Oryctolagus cuniculus: one gene and its partners. The protein of the gene in region 1 interacts with the protein of each later gene in a pairwise test. Links are inferred from orthologs where the notes say so. Each region holds a gene or a part of one and is shown on either strand. Other genes may lie near its edges.

Evidence for each region.
Region 2: the proteins of RABAC1 (region 1) and SPG21 interact in binary tests that used the Homo sapiens proteins (3 or more experiments, as listed by UniProt). The two-hybrid records come from large-scale screens. The link is inferred for Oryctolagus cuniculus from reciprocal best matches to the Homo sapiens genes RABAC1 and SPG21.
Region 3: the proteins of RABAC1 (region 1) and RAB1A interact in a two-hybrid assay, tested with the Homo sapiens proteins (2 studies listed by BioGRID and IntAct). The link is inferred for Oryctolagus cuniculus from reciprocal best matches to the Homo sapiens genes RABAC1 and RAB1A.

What each region holds. Positions count from the first base shown.
Region 1 is NC_091449.1:12,583,771-12,587,513, forward strand, and holds RABAC1 (prenylated Rab acceptor protein 1), read right to left. Parts: upstream 2,487-3,743; 5' UTR 2,346-2,486; coding exon 2,290-2,345; intron 2,017-2,289; coding exon 1,804-2,016; intron 1,700-1,803; coding exon 1,602-1,699; intron 939-1,601; coding exon 837-938; intron 759-836; coding exon 661-758; 3' UTR 540-660; downstream 1-539. UniProt on the Homo sapiens protein: General Rab protein regulator required for vesicle formation from the Golgi complex. May control vesicle docking and fusion by mediating the action of Rab GTPases to the SNARE complexes.
Region 2 is NC_091443.1:88,008,578-88,012,320, reverse strand, and holds the start of SPG21 (maspardin), read left to right. Parts: upstream 1-1,182; 5' UTR 1,183-1,412; intron 1,413-1,506; exon of another isoform or gene 1,507-1,528; intron 1,529-1,608; exon of another isoform or gene 1,609-3,309; intron 3,310-3,743. UniProt on the Homo sapiens protein: May play a role as a negative regulatory factor in CD4-dependent T-cell activation.
Region 3 is NC_091433.1:137,618,029-137,621,703, forward strand, and holds the start of RAB1A (ras-related protein Rab-1A), read left to right. Parts: upstream 1-748; 5' UTR 749-1,174; coding exon 1,175-1,197; intron 1,198-2,887; exon of another isoform or gene 2,888-3,011; intron 3,012-3,675. UniProt on the Homo sapiens protein: The small GTPases Rab are key regulators of intracellular membrane trafficking, from the formation of transport vesicles to their fusion with membranes.

The sequences.
Region 1 (3,743 bases):
GCCTGTGACATCACAGGAGACCCTGTGCTGAGTGACGTCACAGGAGACCGGGGGGCCGCGTGCCAGTGACGTCACAGGAGACCGGGGGGCCGCGTACCAGTGACGTCACAGGAGACCCTGCGGCTGTGTGCTGAGTGACGTCACAGGAGACCTGGGGGGCTGCGTGCCAGTGACGTCACAGGAGACCCGGGGGGCCACGTGCCATGACGTTACAGGAGACCCTGGGGGCCGTGTGCCAGTGACGTCACAGGAGACCCCGGGGGTACATGCCTGTGACATCACAGGAGACCCTGGGGGCCCTGTGCTGAGTGACGTCACAGGAGACTGGGGGGCCCCATGCCAGTGACGTCACAGGAGACCCGGGGGACCGTGTGCCAGTGATGTCACAGGAGACCCTGGGGCCGTGTGCCAGTGACATCACAGGAGACCCGGGGGGCCGCGTGCCAGTGACATCACAGGAGACCCTGGGGGCCGCGTGCCAAGTGATGTCACAGGAGACCCGGGGGCCCTGTGCTGAGTGACGTCACAGGAGACCTGGGGGCCGCGTGCTGTGTGACAGCGTCACAGCTTTATTTCAGGAAGCCACCCCCGACATGGGGCACGTGCTGGCGGTGGGCAGTGGGCAAGGGTGGGCGCCCGGCTGGGGGCCTCGCTGACGCCTCACACGGGCTCCAGGGGCTCCATGTGCAGCTCCTCCGCGTCCACAGCCTCCACCTTGTGGAAGGCGGCGTGGGAGCCGATGACCACCAGGGTGGCCCCTGAGGGAAACGGGCGGCTCAGGGCGGGTCCCCTGGCCCGGCCCCGCCGCCACCCCGCCACCCCGGCCCGGCACTCACCCAGCACCCAGAAGACAGCGGAGCCGGCCCCAGCCAGCCAGAAGAAGGGGAAGGAGACGCCTCCGGCCAGGGCGTACTGATGGGCTGGGCTCACCTCACGGCCTGCGGGCAGACGGCATGGGCAGCTGCCTCCACCCGGCCCCCCAAAGCGGCCCCTGCCCCCTGCCCGGCCCCCAGCGTCCCCACCGCCTCCCTCAGCTCCCAGCTCAGCTTCCAACGGCGAGTCTCAGCCGGTGGAGGACACAAATGGACAGAACCTCACACGGCCGAGACGCCACCTGCAGCCTGGCGAGGCCAGGGTGTGGCTGGGCTTCCTCAGGGACCCCTCCCCGCTCTGCCAACCCCAGCCCCCCTGCCCTTGGCTCCCTGATCCCGACCACCCCCTGGCTGCCCCCCAACCTGCCAGTTCTGCTCGGTAGCAGGAGGCACGGCCTGGACTCCCCTCCCCAAGCAGCCCCAAGACCTCCCCGGTCCCACCCCGGGGCGCAGACAGGTGGGGAGGGCCAGGCCGGTGCAAGGGCGCCACCTGGTGTCCCGTGTGGGGACGTGCAGCGATGCTTCCCGCAGAGGCGGGGAGGGCGCGGCGGCTGGGGCAGGGCTGGGGCTTAGCCAGGGGGTGAGCGAGGGCGACGCGGGGGCTGAGGCTGGGACACCAGCTGTGTCAGGCCTGCGGGAATCCCGAGAGCCAGGCTCGGGTGAGGCCCCAGGGACGGGGACTTGGGGGCCGAGGTCTGCGAGCCGAGAGGCCAGGAGGTGACTTCTCACCGAAGAGCACGAGCTTGGACTGCAACGTGCGCAGATACAGGATGTAGCAGGCGCCGAAGAAGACGGCCAGGGCCACCAGCAGCATGGGCGACGTCACCCTGGAGGAGGAGGGCAGGGAGGCGGAGGTCAGGAGGTCAGGGCCCGGGCCCGGCCGCAGCGGGCGGAGGCCAGGGCGCCCTGGGCGTGGGGCGGGCCGGCTCACACGCAGTACAGGATGAGGCCCAGGAACACGAACACGTAGTTGCTCTGGTAGTACTCCACATTGCGGACCAGGCGCTGGCACAGCTCGCCCAGGTTGCGGGGCCGCGAGAAACGCCGCTGGTCCACGAAGGCGCCCCACGGCCGGATGGTCGCCCGGCGCCGCTCCAGCCACTCGCGGCCGGCGCCGGACGGAATGAGCTTCGGCAGCAGGGTCCTGGAGGGCGGGGGGGGGGGGCAGCGGTGAGCCGGGACCCCCGACCCCTCCCAGACACCAGCGGAGGGGGGAGGGGAGGGCCGGCGCCTGGGCCCTGGGGCGGGCCGGGGCGGGGCAGGGAGGGGCTTCCCCTGGATCCCGGGGGAGGAAGGGGCCGGGGGACCGGACTCGCGTCCTAGAAAGACGTTTCGGTGTCCGGGGGCCAGGACCCCCGCGACTCGAGGGGAGAGGAGGCCGGGGCCGGCACCCCCGGGTTACAGCGGGCTCGCTCACGTGGCGCTCAGCCCTTCGGCCTCGGCCTCCTTCTGCTGGTCCTTCGGGGCCGCCATGTCTACGTTGTGAAGGGCAGAACCGCTGTAACTGGCCCCGGGCCCTGCAGACCCCTCGGGCCCCGCCGGTGCCAGGCCTCACCCAGCGGCGCGGACGTGGCTCCGCGTCGGCGCCGCTGGGGGAGGAGCTCTGCTCCCCGAGCATTGTGGGAGTTGTAGTCCCGACGGGCGACTGGGCGCCATGACGGCAGTCTGGCTCGCAGGGCATTGTGGGAGTTGTGGTCTCTCTGGGCATTGTGGGAGTTGTAGTTTCAGGAGTGGGAGGTGGGGAGTTAAGTGTTGTGTATTCTCCCTCGGAGGGTCCAGTGGGGACCGTGCGGGGCTGTCGTCCTGACTCTAGAAGGCATAAAAATGTACCCTGGCGGGCTTGATTAAACACTGAATCCTAGGCCTCGGGCCCAAATGTTCCGACTCAGCCAGTCTGGACTGCAGGCCATGAAATCCGCCTTTGTATCAAGTCCCCCGCGGGCCGCATACCGAGCCCCAGGGTTGCAGGGAATTTGTGGGCGTCCGTTCCGTCCTCGAGAGGTGGGGAGCGGGCCCCTCCCAGGGATCCCGGGGTGAGTAGGGTAACACTCGCGACAGCCACGAGGGGTTGAGGAGAGGGTTGAGAATTTTACTTTATGTTTTACATTTATTTCAGAGAGAGACACACACACACAACTCCCATCCACTCAACCCAGGTCTCCCACACGGGACCCAGGAGCCCGATCATCTCCCAGGGCCCCAGAACCCGAACCAGACCCAGTCACTCCGAGGTGGGACACAGGTGCCTTAACCACTAGGCTAATGGCCCTCTCCCCTAAGAGAACTTGTTGTTCTTGTTGCTATTTAGTATTTTATTTACTTACAGAGTTACAGAGAGAGAGAGAGAGAGAGAGAGATCATCCGTCCACTTGTTCACTCCCACATGGCCACAACGGCCAGAGCTGTGCCGATCCAAAGCCAGGAGCCAGGAGCTTCCTCTGGGTCTCCCACGTGGGTGCAGGGGCCCAAGCAGTTGAGCCATCCTCTGCTGCCTTCCCAGGCCACAGCAGAGAGCTGGGTCAGAAGAGGAGCAGCCAGGACTTGAACCAGCACCCGTAGGGGATGCCGACATCACAGGTAGAGGCTTAGCCCACCATGCCACAGCGCTGGCCCCTAAACAGAAGTGTGTGTGTGTGTGTGTGTGTGTGTGTGTGTTTAAAGGAGCTGTCAGCTCCAGCATTGTGGCACAGCAGGTTAAGCCACCGCCTGTGACGCTAGCATCCCATATGGGCAATGGTTTGAGTCCCAACTGCTCCACTTCCCATCCAGCTCCCTGTCAATATGCTTAGGAAAACAGTGGAAGAGGCCTCAAGGAGCCGGCGCTGTGGCGTAGCGGGTAAAGTCTCCACCTGCACTGCCGGCATCCCATAT
Region 2 (3,743 bases), on another chromosome or scaffold:
TCCGGAGAGGTGCCCATCCGTTCTTGCGGATGTCCCTACCCTAATAAACTTCGCTACTTCTACTTTCCACTACTCTGTCTCATGCCTGAATTCTTTCTTGCACGAAGAACCCTGCCATTCTCCAGTAATAATTCCACTCATTAAACTATTCCAAAATCCTCAGAACAATCTCCCAAGGTTAAAGCCTTCCATGGAAGCCTGCTCTACAGAGTGTACACACCTGTGTGGGGCTTACAACAAAGACCAGTTCCCGTGACTGACCCCCACTCCCGAGGAGGTGATTTGGAAATCAGTAGGCGAGGGTGTCATCCTGCTCTTGGGAAATGTGTTGGGGATTTGGTCAAATGCTGGCCTGGAACCCAAGGTTCCTGAGCCAGAGGACAGAGGTCATGACTGAGGATGCAATTTAACTGGAATCTTCCCTGACCTTACTCCCATGGGCAAGGACACAGGCTTTAAGCATATTAGAGAGAGGCACTGAGCAGGGCCTTGCCGCAGGGTCCCTTAAAAGCTCCCAACAGGAAGCCTTCCATGCCATTCATGTGTCATACCCTCCTCCAGTGCAAACCTGGAAATGTTTAACTGGGGAAGGGAGTCCGAGAACAATGACAGTGAAGCCATTCACATGCCTCCGGGCCTTTAAAGGAAAAGTGCTGACAGAGGCAGGGTGGGAGTCTGTTCCCAGAAATGTCCCACATCGGGAGCACGAGGCTGGAGGCACTCGTGTGGAGACAACGAGGCGTCTGTGCCTGCGCCAAATGGTATATAAAAAACAGAACTTGCCAAGAATAGCCACAGTCCTGTTCCCCAAAACCGGGAACCCAAACGAATCTCCTCAAAGCTTTGCAGGACGGGAGCACGCAAGCCAACTGAGCGCAGAAGCAGGTGCCAGGGGCCAGACGTCCCCTTCGTCCACGCCCACAACTTCCTCCTGGGTGCTCACGTCACACAGGTGACCTAGAGTCGACCCAGAGGAAACCCGGACCTCCCCCACGCCCGCCGCACCGGATGCGGGCTGCCCGGCAGCTCGCAGCACTCACAACACCTGCAGTCTCCCACCCGAGTTGCCAGCCCTCCCCGTCGCCATGGCGCCGCCCGCGCCACGCAGCCCCGCCCCTTCCTCGCGACGTGGCCCCGCCCACCGCCGAACCCGGAAGCGGGAGGCTCGAGCCCGCTGAGCCAAGGTTCCGGAGGAGGAGGGAGCGCGACGGCCGAGCTCGCCGAGCCGCGCGCCCCGCCCCTCGGAGGCTGGCCTCCTGCGCGCGCCCCCGCTGCCGGCGGCCCCTGTGGGTCCCGAGCGCTCCCGGCCCCGGCCCGCTCCCGGGCCCAGCCGCCTCCACGGCCCGCCCCAGTGCTGGAGCAAGGAGCTGCCTAGGGCAGGAGGGCCGGGGACGTGGGGGCGGCCACGGCAGGTGAGGGCGGGCAAGGCCCTGGGCCGCGGGGCTGTGGGGGTGTGGCGTGTGTCGGGGCTGTGGGTGGTGGGTGTGTAGCGTGCGCAGCTGCCTCGGCCGGATGTGACTTTGTGAGTGTGAGTGTGATCCCGAGTGGGCCGGTCCATGTGACCATGCACGTGATCGCAGACCCGTGCGCGAGGGAGGTGTTTGTCCTGAGGCCGAGCCTGGGCTCGTGGCGGGGGTGGGCGGTGTGCCTGGGACCCTACCTTTGTGTGGCTGTCACCGTTGGGAGTGGGAGGCCTTGGAGTGGACAGAAGGCTTCCCGGGGACAGACGCCTGCAGACCCATCCTGGTGCTGCGCCGCAGAGCCCAGGAACTTTTCTGTTTTTCCCAGATAACTTTTAAGAACTCTGAACAAAGGCCACTTATTGTGGAGATTGTCCCTCGGCCTGAAAGTGACAGATGCCTTTGTCGTTGCTGATTTTCGGGCCAGGTAGACAGGGAATCAGGAGTCACAGGGCCTCTCCCCTGTTCCTGGGGAGTTACAAGTTAGACACTCTCGCTGTGTCTTTGTCTCCTGGAATGGTCCAGCTCCTATGGGCTGGGCCTGAGGGGTGTGTCCAGCGTTCCAAAAGCTTTTATATACCAAGAGCACAGGAGGAGCTGTCAGAGAAGAGATGTCAGGGAGGCAGCTTTCCCTCCCAAGAGGTTTGGCGATGATGAAATAGATTCCTGATGAGAAGCAGAGATCTTAAAAAAAAAAGGGGGGGGTGTCTGTGTACTGATGGGGTGAGGGATGGAGGCGTGTGTTAAAAAGCTCAGAACTCCATGCTGTAGTGCTTGTTTTTTTTGTTTGTTTTTGACAGGCAGAGTGGATAGTGTGAGAGAGAGAGAAAGGTCTTCCTTTACCGTTGGTTCACCCTCCAATTGCCACCACGGCTGGCACGCTGCGGCCGGCGCACCGCGCTGATCTGAAGCCAGGAGCCAGGTGCTTCTCCTGGTCTCCCATGGGGTGCAGGGCCCAAGCACTTGGGCCATCCTCCACTGCCCTCCCGGGCCACAGCAGAGAGCTGTCTTGGAAGAGGGGTAACTGGGACAGAATCCAGCACCCCGACTGGGACTAGAACCCGGTGTGCTGGTGCCGCAGGCGGAGGATTAGCCTACTGAGCCGCGGCGCCGGCCATGTAGTGCTTGGTTTTGCTGGTATTAATCGGGACAGGTCGCCCGCATGTAGAACAGCCATAGATTGAGATAAAGGATCAGAGACCTTGGACTAGCACAGCCGGGTGTGTGGTTGCAACACTTGTAAAGGCAGCTTCGTGGGCTGTAAACTGGCAGAGTGTGAGGGCCCCCAAGACAAGCTCGCACCCCGACCTGGCAGTGTGACTGTGCAGCAGCTCCAGGCCAGCGAGGACGGGGTCCCGGACACCCGGTGCCCTTAGGGGAGAGTGAGGCTGTCATCGCCGAAGCCTTTCCCTGCCAGCCAGAGCAGGTGCGTTCGTTTCTGTGAAAAACTCAGTCATGGGCGATGGAATCCGTGTTGCGCTCACCGTCCACATTCTTTCTGCCTTAATCCTGACCCGTTTGGTCACCATCTCAGCCAGCCTTCTTCGCCGTCTTGGAAAGTGTGCCCCTCGATGGATGAAAGAGAGCCAGGGGAACAGACCTTCCTTGTCAGACTGCTCAGCGGCTGTCCCTTGCGGAAGTGAGCTTTTCTTCACCTGGACGTCAGTTGGTCAATTGCAGCATTTGGTATCTGTCTCCCCTTTCATGTACTGCCAGACTAGCACAAGTGTTAAAATCACTTGTCGCCACAAAAATGTAGTCCCAGCTGAGTGCAGTCGCTCGGTCCGGCAAGGTTAGTTATAACTTGTTGTAATCGGGCGGTGGCCGCGAATTCTCCTGAGGACTGTTGGTAAGGAGCATCTTCCCACCTGCTGCTCTGGAGAGAAGTGGATGAGTGAGTGAGTCGGTGGGCTGTGTGAGAGTATGTGGATATGTGAGGTAGTTTGGTTTGCGCCCTGCAGCTGATTCCAAAACTGAATATTGTGTTCTACCCCTGGTTTGATGACTAGAAGCAATCTTTCAAGCTTTAAAAGATGAAGTATTTAGGGGATATGAGAATGTGGCCTGTCTGTCCAGGGAGAAAGTATTCCAGAATTAACTGTGTGGTTGTTCTTTCTGTTAAAAGTAGTAACCAGCTTAGAGGAAGGCTGTAGTTAAAATGGCTTAGTATTTGTTTGTTTGAGAGAGACAGAGAGCGAGCTTCCATCCACTGGTTAACTTCCTGAATGCCACAAGCTACTGGAGCTGGGCCAAGGTGAAGCCCGGAGCCAGGAACACAATCCA
Region 3 (3,675 bases), on another chromosome or scaffold:
ATTACTTTCCAATCTTGCTCAGAATTAAGTGGCAACTTTTAAAGAGGCAGAACAATTCAGCCTGAAGGCTGGGCCGAGAGCAGGTAGACTCAACTCTTAGGCCATGCCTGGGCTGTGTCCCACCCCTGGCTGTGGAGCCCTTGAAGGTTGTGGGGTCACGGTGGAAGCGCTGTGTGCGAATGGGCTGGGGCATAGTCCACTTGCAGGCAACTGAAATGTCCAGGCTGAGGTGACATGACAAGAGTGGGGCTGGGCCAGGACTGTAAAAATCAAAAAGAAAACGGTAGTGACCGAACCCGGGTGGGGTCGGGTGAGTGAAGAGGGCTGCGCGCAGTCCAGGGCGCCGGAAGTCCTCGGCAGAGGCCCCCGACTTTCCCGCCGCCCTCTGAGCCTACGTCCTCGGACCAGCGGCGAAGGGCAGGCCTCAAGCCCGTCGGGCCTGCGAGAACCGCGCGGGGCTCAGGGGCCGCCAGGCGCGCGCCCCTTCCCCCACGCTCGGGCCGTCCCACCAGGCCAGACCCCTCCCGCCCCGCGGTCCCACCGTGACCCCCATCCTCCGCCCCGGCCGGTACCGCCCTCTGCCTCTTCCCACCCCCTCCCCCGTGGGGCGCTGACTCGCCCGGCTGCCACGTCTCACTGGTGACATCACCGGGGCCTCTCGGCCTTAGCCAATCCGCTAGGGGGAGTCCGAGCGAAGTCCTAGCCAGCGAGTCAACGGGGAGGGGAGCAGGGAGGGGCGGAGGGTGGGGGGTGAGGGAGTGGGGAATGGAGCGGGCGACAACCGCACAAGTACGCATGCACCAGAGTCGCGGGGCTTGGCGGGAAGCGGAGTCCCGGCCGCCTTGCCGCACCGTCGGTCTTCTGCGCGTGTAGCTGCGCTCGCGACTCTCCTTCCCGGCATGCCACGCGCCGAGGCCGCCCTCCGGGCCGTGTAAAGACCCCTTGGTCCGAGGCTTCCCTATTTCCTGGTTCGCCGGCGGCCATTTTGGGTGGAAGCGATAGCTGAGTGGCGGCGGCTGCTGATTGTGTTCTAAGGGGACGGAGCGGGGGAAGACGTTTGCTCTCCCGGAACAGCCCATCTCATTCCTTTCCTTCGATTACCCGTGGCGCGGAGAGTCAGGGCGGCGGCTGCGGCAGCAAGGGCGGCGGTGGCGGCGGCGGCAGCTGCAGTGACATGTCCAGCATGAATCCCGAATAGTGAGTGCAGGAGAACACCGGTCGGCTGGGTCGGTGGGCCAGCTTGGGAAGCTTAAGCGGGGCGAGGAGGGCTGGGGCAGGGGCGCGGGCATTGGCCCGAGGGAGGCAAGGGTGACGGGGCCTTAGAGGCTTGAGGCCGGGAGTCGGGCCCCATTGTCTGACGGCGGAGGGGCGGCCGGGGGGAGGGGTCGGCCGGAGAGGTGAGCGGCCCGGGCCTCGGCCGGGTCCGCCTCAGGGCCTGAGTGCCGGGCCGCTGCGGAGGGCCTTGGGGCGTTGGGCAGTCCGGTGGCGGAGCGGCCTGAAGGGTCAGCTTCCTCCGGGGGCAGTAACTTTGGAAGGGGCATTTGTTTTTAAGGGGAGGAGAAGGGTGGGAGAGCTCCCCCAGAGGGCACTGTCAGACCCCGCGCCCGCGCTCTGCGGAGCTGTCAGGATCGCCGGGTTGGAAACCAGCTTTACTTGTAAAGCCTGAGCTTGCTGGTTCCCTGTCGTGCCACCCTCCCCGCCAGGTTGCAGGTAATATGGATGCTTCTCGGGACTGCGTGGGATTGAGGGCAAGGAGCGGAGAGATGGTGAGCAGCGATTTAAAATGCTTAGTTCTCGTTTGGAGTTATCTCCTGGAGGAGTTCTTTAAGAACTTGCCTGGTCCATCGCCCTCCCAAAGCCCTGGACATTTGGGAGAATTTGTTGTTAGAGGACACCTAAGTCATTTTGTCTTCTATAGGTCAAGGGAGGGAGAAAAAAAAAAAACAGAACTAAAACCAAGGGTACTACCGAATTGGACAAGGACTACTGTCAAGTTGAAAGAGAAACGAGTGGGACCTATGGTAGATCGTGTAGGTTTTGGATTACCTACTTGAATGCTTGTAGATAGGGAATGAGCTTCCATGACGTGTCATGAAAAGTTAATGCATTTCTTTTCCTTGCTTACTCAAGAGGTCACCACAACAGATGTGACACACCTGGCACTTTTCCTGGGAACTAGTGTTCACTTGCCTTGGGGAAGAGTTTAGTTGAGTTCTTTATGGCCCTTAAGAAAAAACACTTCCTACAGTTTACATATATGTAAATTAATGAAAAGTTGATAATTTAATTGGTATTCTTCAGCGCCGGAAACCTTTTCAGGAGGATTTCTAAAAGCAAAAATTAGTATTTGTCCCAAAAGTTTTTTTATTTTTTGCTTTGGTCAGTTACTGGTAGACATATCCCCCTGAAAAGTCAACTCTTCAGTTTAGCTGACTGTCATGTGTGTGTCACATGACTGTTGCAAAACGCATTCTGACTTCAAATTTTGTAATATTGTGGTTTGATGCTGAAATATCTTTTCGTACTAAACAGTAGCTATACGATTTTACTAGAATTTCTTACTTGAAAAATTTGCTATGTTGGCAATTTTTTCTTTATCAAGGGCTCCGAGGACAAAGTTGGTGTTACGTGGTTAGCCCGAGTTGATGTAAGGTTCCTAATTAGTGTTTATCCTGGAAGCAGTAAAGAACATGAATTTTTGGATTTGCCACTATATGGAGATTTTTTAAACCTCTGCTGTTCAGGGAGGTTCCTATATTTGCTACATATGTTTAGTACTATAAATAGACCTTGAAAATTAATTAGTTGAATGAGATTTTGAGAAATTACTCAGCTTCAGAATTTGTTTCTCCTTTTGTAAAATAGGATAAATAGGAGTCATCCTTACCAATGTAGTGGTGAGATTCAGATACTTCCAGACGAATTTGGAAAATGGTAAGAACATTCTTTTGGAGGTAGAAATCATTTTCCTGTAAGGCATTCTGATAGTGCTAGGGTTTAACAGTGCTATGGTTTTATAAGTTCCCCAAGGAACTTATAAATGGAATATAGAATGTAGATTTTTTTTTTTAGAATGTAGATTTTATGCATATCAAATGTCAGTAGATATAGCAAGTTCCAAATATGCAGTATAGATTGGAGCAACAGGATTTCAGAGGAATGTAGTGACTTTGGCTTGCCCATTGGGTTTTGGAAGACTCTGGAAAAGAAACCTGTAAGGATGTTATTAGCAGTGAGATTTGGAAGAGCAGAAAGGATCGAGGAGGATTTTTCCAGGGGCAAAAAGGAAGGATGGCCAATAAATGGCAAGGACTATAGAATTTAAGTAAGTGTAGTGCCAGATCATCCTTTCTTTTAAGAACTTTAGATTAATGATCTCAACAGAGTCAAACTTAGAAAATCTTTTTATATTTTTTTCTGGCATCTTGTTTGCCAATATCTAGCCTACTGTATTTGCATTCTGGACTGTCTATTAAAATAGTCCAGTAGTTTGGGAAAACCTTTGCAAAAGTGTTAATGAAAATATCTTAGGGTGATAGTAAAAGATGGCTATTTTAGGGAAGATCGGGGGCAACCAATAATCAGATTTTTTTTTTACCAATCTGACTTCATTGATCTCTTTTTGTCTTTAACGAAGTTTAACATTGTAAGAGTAATTGGAAAACAAAAAAAGAA